Linked DNA regions of Mus musculus. The protein of the gene in region 1 purifies or fractionates together with the protein of each later gene. This does not show direct contact. Links are inferred from orthologs where the notes say so. Each region holds a gene or a part of one and is shown in the gene's direction. Other genes may lie near its edges.

The links.
Region 2: the proteins of Ppp2r2d (region 1) and Ppp2r1b purify together in Homo sapiens (affinity purification with mass spectrometry; 4 studies listed by BioGRID and IntAct, counting the BioPlex papers as one, with this or other methods). This does not show direct contact. The link is inferred for Mus musculus from reciprocal best matches to the Homo sapiens genes PPP2R2D and PPP2R1B.

What each region holds. Positions count from the first base shown.
Region 1 is NC_000073.6:138,844,904-138,848,813, forward strand, and holds the start of Ppp2r2d (serine/threonine-protein phosphatase 2A 55 kDa regulatory subunit B delta isoform), read left to right. Parts: upstream 1-1,482; 5' UTR 1,483-1,605; coding exon 1,606-1,612; intron 1,613-1,707; exon of another isoform or gene 1,708-1,708; coding exon 1,709-1,801; intron 1,802-3,555; exon of another isoform or gene 3,556-3,762; intron 3,763-3,910. UniProt on the Homo sapiens protein: Substrate-recognition subunit of protein phosphatase 2A (PP2A) that plays a key role in cell cycle by controlling mitosis entry and exit. Involved in chromosome clustering during late mitosis by mediating dephosphorylation of MKI67.
Region 2 is NC_000075.6:50,866,623-50,870,432, forward strand, and holds part of Ppp2r1b (serine/threonine-protein phosphatase 2A 65 kDa regulatory subunit A beta isoform), read left to right. Parts: intron 1-205; coding exon 206-320; intron 321-703; coding exon 704-774; intron 775-1,040; coding exon 1,041-1,175; intron 1,176-3,440; coding exon 3,441-3,614; intron 3,615-3,810. UniProt on the Homo sapiens protein: The PR65 subunit of protein phosphatase 2A serves as a scaffolding molecule to coordinate the assembly of the catalytic subunit and a variable regulatory B subunit.

The sequences.
Region 1 (3,910 bases):
ACTACTCCATGTCTCTTATTCTTCTCCATTACTCTCATACACCCAGACACATGCAGCTCATTTTATCCTCCTACTTAACTCAGAGACAGTTCTTTCAGAAACAACCCTGAGTGCTGCTACTGATGGAAGGCCCTATTTCTTCATGACTTTCTCCAGCTCTTGGCCATAGCCAGCCCTCTCATCAGAGTTCACCCCCTGAAAACAGCTTCCTGCTCTGTCCCGGACCACCTTGCCTCCACTGCTATGACTAGCCTTCCTTGGCCACTTCTGTTCTCCCCACAGCTTCTTGCTGCCCTTTAAACACATTAGCAAGCTTAGGTGTGCTCCGTGCTTGTAAACCCAGCGCCAACGAGGTGGAACCAGACGTATTTCAATTTAGAGACCAGCCTCATGTTACATGGCAAGACCCTAATCAAAGTGTGTGTGTGCAATTGAATTAAAAATAAAACATCGGAAAGAAAAGGTCAGGGTGGCCCAGCCTGTGCACTAGCTGTTCTCATTTCTAGCAGCCGCCCAAGACGTCAGCCTGAGATTCTTTCTTATCTCCTCTAATTGCTCTCCTAAAGATACCAACTGCTCCAATCTCCTTCCCCTGCTTCTGTGTTGTATTTAACTCTAGTCCACTTAACTTTCCCCAGGTTTTTCTTATTGTCTCTTCTCCGCTGAAGAGTAAACTCCACCAGGACAGACACATCACCTCTACACAAGCAGCATCCCAGCCAAGACTGAGAATAGAAAAAGCACTTGCTAAAAGGCAAAACATTTTTGAAGTGGAGAATGCTCTGGTTTGGAACAACTGCCCTCTAGTGGTGCAGTACGCTCACTGCCAACTTCATAGTGATTTCGGATAAGTCAAGCCCACGAACAAATAATTCCTCTTCATGCTAGAAAAACACACCCACAAATAAAGCAAATGTCGAGAACGGTTCCCTAGGGGCTATACTGAGAGCTCAAAGAATCCCTGAAGTAGCACTCTGATGAGATCAGTGCTCAGAAGCTACGATCAAAGATTCTGGGGGCAAGAGAGCCTGGATGATGGGCAAAATTACGCACGCAGGTGCTGGGTTCCAGGTGCTCCGGGGATCAGAGGCCCCGCCTGCCCACGGCCGAGCGCTCTCTATTGGCAGATCCACGGAGGTTCCGCGTTCCCGTTGGCTCAGCTGTAGGAAAGGCCCAGGCCTTCGAGCATCCAGTCCAGCCGGCCGCAGAAGAAAGTCTGAGGCCTTAAGAACGTAGAGGGCGTCGCGTCCTAGCCTTGACACGACTCGAGAAGGCCGCCTCTATCTGCCAGCGGACTAGTCCAAGACACTCCTCTCCTTGGACCGCAGCGGCTACGTAGGTCCAACCTCAAGACAGCTCGCGCAGACGCAGTCGGCGCACGGTGCGCCCCCGGCAGCCCCCGCGGCACTGACCGTCGGAGGAGGCGGAGGGGGATGACGTCATCCGGCGGGGCGACGGGCATTGGGCGCCATTTTGAAAAGGGGAAAAAATTCCCTCCCCGGCGGCGGCGACGGTGGCGGCAGCGGCGGCGGCGGTGGCGGCCGGGGCTGAGCGCTCGGAGCGCCTCGGTCGGCCGCGCTCGGCTGGGCGCGTCCCGCCCGCGCCATGGCAGGTGAGGGCCGTGCGCGAGCGAGCGAGCGGGGCGGGCGGGCGGACTGGACGGTGGTGGGGCGGGGCGGGGCCGGCCTGACGGCGCGCTCTGTTGCAGGAGCTGGAGGCGGCGGCTGCCCGGCGGGCGGCAACGACTTCCAGTGGTGCTTCTCGCAGGTGAAGGGCGCTGTCGACGAGGACGTGGCGGAAGGTGAGGCCCGACCGACACCCCACCCCAACCCCCGAGCCCCGCAAGGTCATGCTCGCTCAGCCGCCGGTCCGGACGCGGCCGCCTTTGCCCGCCTGACCGGCGTTGTCCCGGGAGACCCTCGGCCGGCCAGCGGCTGAAGAGAGGGAGGGGTGTCCGTAGGGAGACGGCTGCGGACGCGGGGCTGGGGAGAGACTGCGGCTGAGTCCCGCTTCGGGGATCTGTTGGGGAGACGGCGGTGGACGCTAGCCTTGGGAGGCTATGGGGATGATGGCCATGACGCCGGCCTCAGGGGTCGGTGGGCACAGATGGCCATGGAGGCCAGCCTCGGGAGGCTATGGGGAGACGACCGTGGACGCCGGCCTCGAGGGTCTGTAAGAAGGTAAGGCCGGGGCAGAGGTATCGAGCCATGTAAGGAAGATGCGGCCACAGGTCTTTGGAGTCTGGGGTGTATAACGATCTTAAATGCATGTCTCACTAGCGTCTGTACGGAGTGAAGAAAAAGGACTGTAGACACTAGGCAGCGACCCCGGGATTCCGCTAGGAGTTGGTACCACGGGGTGAGGTGAGGTCCATTTTTGTGAAAGGAGAGAGATAGGGGGGCATGGCAGTTGATCTTGAGGCCCTGTGGGGTAAATCAGGTCCCAGACACTAATGTGGGAGCCCATGCAATATAAAGGGTCTTTCATCTATCTCCCTGGCACCCGTATAAGGTGGAAGGAGAACCATGCAGGGTTATCAGTCTCCGGGGGCCCATGCTGGACTGGACTCAGGACGGGATGGAGCACCGAGTGCTCTGGATACCCTGTTTGTGGTCGTAGGTGTGCTAGTCTGTCCAGTCCAATCTCTGGCCAGGTAGACGTCGGTCAGCCCTGGATCTCCACCTCTTGTTGTTGAGCAAGAGGAACTTATTTGTCATGGGGTCTCCTGAAGCGCTACAGTAGTGGCGGTTTTCTTTTTTTAACTGAGTAGTGTTTTCTCTTCCCACACTGCTCTTTAAAGTCACTTCTCCAGACTTTGTTTTTTGATGTTGTCCCATCCAGCCAAGTCCTGGGATTTCAAACACACACTGTGTGTGTGTGTGTGTGTGTGTGTGTGTGTGTGTGTGTGTGTGTGTGTGTGGTGAGCATAGGCCTGCCTGTTCGTGCTCCTGCACGTGTGGAGGTTAGAGGACAACTTAGCAGAGTTGGTTCTTTTTACCACGTGAGTCCCAGGGATGGCCATCAGGCTTGACAGCGAATGGCTTTACCTGCTAAGCAGTCTCATCCACCCACTTACAGTTTATTTTTGTTTTTTGAAACAGAATTTCATGTACCTCAGATTGGCCTCAAACTCCCTATATAGCTGAGGCTGGCATTGAACTGTTTGTTTCTGAGACAGGATTTTTCTGTAGAACAGCCCTGGTTTTGTGCACCAGGCTGACCTCCGGGGTTAAAGGCATAAACTGCTGTGCCCAACTTTGGCCTTGAATTCTTGATCCTGCTGCTTCTACTTCCCAAATTCTGAAATTATTGGCAAGCATTGCAATCAAAGCCCAGCTTTCCATAAAACTGTTCCTTATCCTCAAAGCTTCAGTCTGCTGCCTTCTTTCCCCTGATCACAGTTTAAATGTGCCATCATTGTAGGTAGACAGGGAAGTAGGAGAGCGTGAAGACTGTGGGATTTATTCTTAGAGATTTGACATTAGCATTTTATATTAGACTCAAAGCAACTCGTTCAGTGTCTAATAAACCATGGGCTTTCACTTTCTTTTAAAGACGTCTGTTCACTCCACCCACACTCCTCACTAGCAGGCGCTCCTCAGATGTCCTGTCCTGCTTCTTGTTTGCTCCTCCACCCTGTCTCTTCTGGAAGTGTCTGGCTTGACTCATGACCATTGAGAACATCTGGAGGCCTGTGGTCCCAGGGACAAGACCGGAACAGGTCATCTTGGCCTGTGAAACTGCTCTCCAAAAGTTGCAGAGGTGAATGGTTTCAGATTGAAGTCAGGTGACTTTTATGTGGCATAGTTTATTGATTTTGTTTCTTCTGTATTGGCATAAAATGTATTACTGTGTTTCATTTTTCTTGTGCCAGGTAGGTGACAGGTCAGCCTTATTCCTGTGATTCATC
Region 2 (3,810 bases), on another chromosome or scaffold:
TGTTAAAAACCTCAGACACACTTACCCTACAGAGTTTCTGTCGGACACAGCTTACAAATCCTACTGAGTGGTTGTGAACTTAAAAAAAGTGAGAGAGCCTGCTTAATCTTTCCATTTTGGTTACAGCATGCTTTTGATGATTGTACTATTTTCTGTTTTTACTATTATGCTAGTATACAGTAAACCTGTATAAATTGTTTTCTAGCTCCAGAAAGCGGTGGGCCCTAAGATTGCACTCAGCGACCTCATCCCCGCCTTCCAGAGCCTCCTCCGAGACTGCGAAGCTGAAGTCCGAGCAGCCGCTGCCCACAAAGTAAGAGGTGAGACTGGCCGTGGGGTCCTTTGACTTTGGTGGTGTCAGCTCGCTATAGTTTGGTTTGGTTAGGACCGAAAACATAAACCAGGGAGAGATGAGTCCACGCAGCAGCATTTCCGCCCACGCTGATGCATTTGTTGTGTTAGGAAGTTTGGCATGGTTTTGATTTATAAGATGCTGCAGACGGATGGCACCAGCATGGCAGGTGGCACCGTCAGACTGTCCCATAGGTTAGGTCAGGAGGGCCTCCAGGCTGTGCTGTGTGGACCAGGCTTACTGCCCCTCCACACTTTATTTGCTCAGACTGACTTAACTTGGACTGTTGGGAAGAGCTGGGTAATTGTCTTTGGCTCCTTGACAGCATTGCCTTTTCTGTTTCTGTTTCAGAGCTTTGTGAGAACCTGCCCGCTGAAGGTAGAGAGACTGTAATTATGAATCAAATCCTGCCCTATATAAAGGTGAATGTGACTTCATTTTATTTTGTTTACTCTACCTACGAAGCTCTTAGCATCTAAAGAAGGAAGAGGCATAAATTAATCAAATACATAATAACATTAGTGCAAATGTTTAGAGTTGATTTGTGCGCGTTGCACTGTAGAGCTTGTGGGCGCATAGCTGTTACTACAGACGGCCAGGTCAGCTGTGCTGTTGGCTGGTGCTGCTGTGGACTCCTCGGGAGGTGCTGTAGAGGCTTTTGTTGTCTTTAATTTTTATTCTCTTTTAGGAATTAGTGTCTGATACCAACCAACATGTCAAGTCAGCGCTAGCTTCTGTAATTATGGGATTATCTACAGTTTTGGGCAAAGAGAATACCATTGAACATCTTCTGCCTCTATTTTTAGCTCAGTTAAAGGACGAGGTGAGTCTGGGTATGAATCCTTTTGCTTTGATATAATTGATTTGATATGATTTTGTTTCTTTTTTTTTCTTTTGGGTTTTCTGAGACAGGATTTCTTTGTGTAGCCCTGGCTGTCCTGGAACTTGTCGCTTTGTAGACCAGGCTGGCCTTGCACTTAGAGATCCATCTGCCTCTCTCTGTCTCCCAAGTGCTGGGACTAAAGGGACTGTAAAGCTTTGGTTTGGTGATTTTACTAAAATAGGACCCAAAGTGTAAAGATGGGGAAAATCATAGTCTAGATATTTGACAGTCCTTCTGTTTGGGTGTAGGGCTACAGGTTTCCCCAAAAATGGGCACAAGGACTAACTAAAAACAAACCAACTGGGTGTGGTGGAGCATGCCTTTAATCCCAGCACTCTGAAGGCTGAGGCAGGGGGATCTCTGAGTTCAAGGCCAGCCTGGTCCATAGGTCAAGTTCCAGGACAGTCAGGGTTACCCAGAGAAACCCTGTCTCTAAAACCAGAATCAACCAAACAACCAAAAAAGAGGAGCTGGAGAGGGAGGGAGCCTCGTAGCAAACAGCACTGGCTCATTCTTGGTTTGGTTCCCAGAACCCACATGGGTTCCTCAACTGTCAGTGGCTCTAGTTCAGGGATCTGATGCCTCTGTGGTCACCCGCAGGCACCAGGCACACAAATAGTGCATAAACATGTTCATGCAAAACAGTCATGAAATAAGTCTTAAAACCATCCAAGAAATGCCTATTAAATGTTTTATATTATAGTCACTGATTCCTTATATTTAAAGCTCATATATCTTTGCTTAAACTGTGTCTTTTTATTTAAGTTTAAAGTGTAGCTTCAGATACTAACATTTAGTGGCTGGAGATTTGGCTCAGCAGTTAGGAGGCCTGTCGCTTGTAGAGGACTAGAGCTCCAGTTCTGGTGGCCATGTTGAGTGGCCCTCAACTGTTCATAACTCCATCTCCAGAGGGTCTGGTCCCTTGCTGGCCTTTGTGGGCACACACACACACACACACACACACACACACACACACACACACACACACACACACACACACGGGCACATGTGCACGTTACACAGACAATACATACATTCGGATAAAAATGTAACAGGTAGTGCCAGGCATGGTCTGAGAGCTTTGGATATGTCATTAACTGTAACTGCTGCAGTGGGCTCTGGGCTTGGTTCCTCCCGGTGTAGAGGAAGGAGAGACCAGGGAGTAAGATGTCTGCGGTCTCCCTGCAGTGGCAGAGCTGAGTCCCAGGGCCTGGGCCCTTTACATCTCATAGACTCTGTGCTTACTTATTAATTAAAAGTCTGAAAATCTTTATTATTATGTGAGCGAGCGTACACTGTGTGCACATACAGAGTTCAGAGGCTGTCTCTGTGGAGTCCGTTCTCTCCATCCACTTTATGTTGGATGTTCTGGGGATAACTCATGTTCTGGGGATCGGATCCTGGCTGCTAGGTTTGTGAGGGAAGCCCCTCTTTCTGCTCAGCCATCTCGCCTGCCAATTTGTTAATTGATTTTTTAACTTAGTGTACAATCTCCCGTAGATGGATGGTACAGGCTTTTTACTGACGTGTGGCTAAGGTCAGTGACATTGTATCTGTGCACTTAGTGTTAAGGATTTCCTTCTGCAGTAGCTTTTCTATAGTTCTGGTGGTTGAGTCCAGGGCTCTGCAGGATGGACGAATGCCTTTCCTACCCAGCCACACCACAGCTTACCCCCACCTTTTAAAGCCTGAGCCTTTTCTTTTCTTTTCTTTTCTTTTCTTTTCTTTTCTTTTCTTTTCTTTTCTTTTTCTTTCCCTTTCCCTTTCCCTTTCCCTTTCCCTTTCCCTTTCCCTTTCCCTTTCCCTTTCCCTTTCCCTTTCCCTTTCCCTTTCCCTTTCCCTTTCCCTTTCCTTTTCCTTTTCCTTTTCCTTTTTTCCTTCCTTCCTTCCTTCCTCTCTTTTTCTTTCTTTCTTGTTTTTTTTGGTTTGTTTGTTTTTGTTTTTTTGTTTTTTTTTAAGATGGGAGTCTATCTGTGTATCCCTGGCTGTCCTGGAACTCACGTTGTAGACCAGGCTGGTCTTGAACTCAAGAGATCTGCCTGCCTCCACTGCCCAAGTGCTGGGTTTAAAGGTGTGCGCCACCACCCAGATTAGTACTTTTTAATTTGAAATTCTACTTAGCACTTTTTATTTTCTCATGCCAGGAGACTACTGGGCAAAAGAGTTAATTTTCACATGTAGTCTCTGGGGCTTGTGTGTTTATAGTGTCCAGAAGTTCGTTTAAATATCATCTCCAATTTGGATTGTGTGAATGAAGTGATTGGAATCCGTCAGCTCTCTCAGTCTCTCCTTCCGGCCATAGTGGAACTGGCTGAAGATGCCAAGTGGAGGGTCCGCCTGGCTATCATTGAGTACATGCCGCTGCTGGCTGGCCAGCTGGTGAGTACCTGGGCTTTGCCATGGTTTGAGGGTGGTTTTGGTTTTCAGTGATCTATTATGGCCTAACAGGAGGGTGGTGCAGAAACACAGTCACCTTGCTGCCTCCTCAGGTTGAAGGTGTAGAATGTGCTTCTGTGATAGCAATGTTGTATTATTTAAACCCTATATAATTTAAGGACTCGTGTATGGAAGGGAA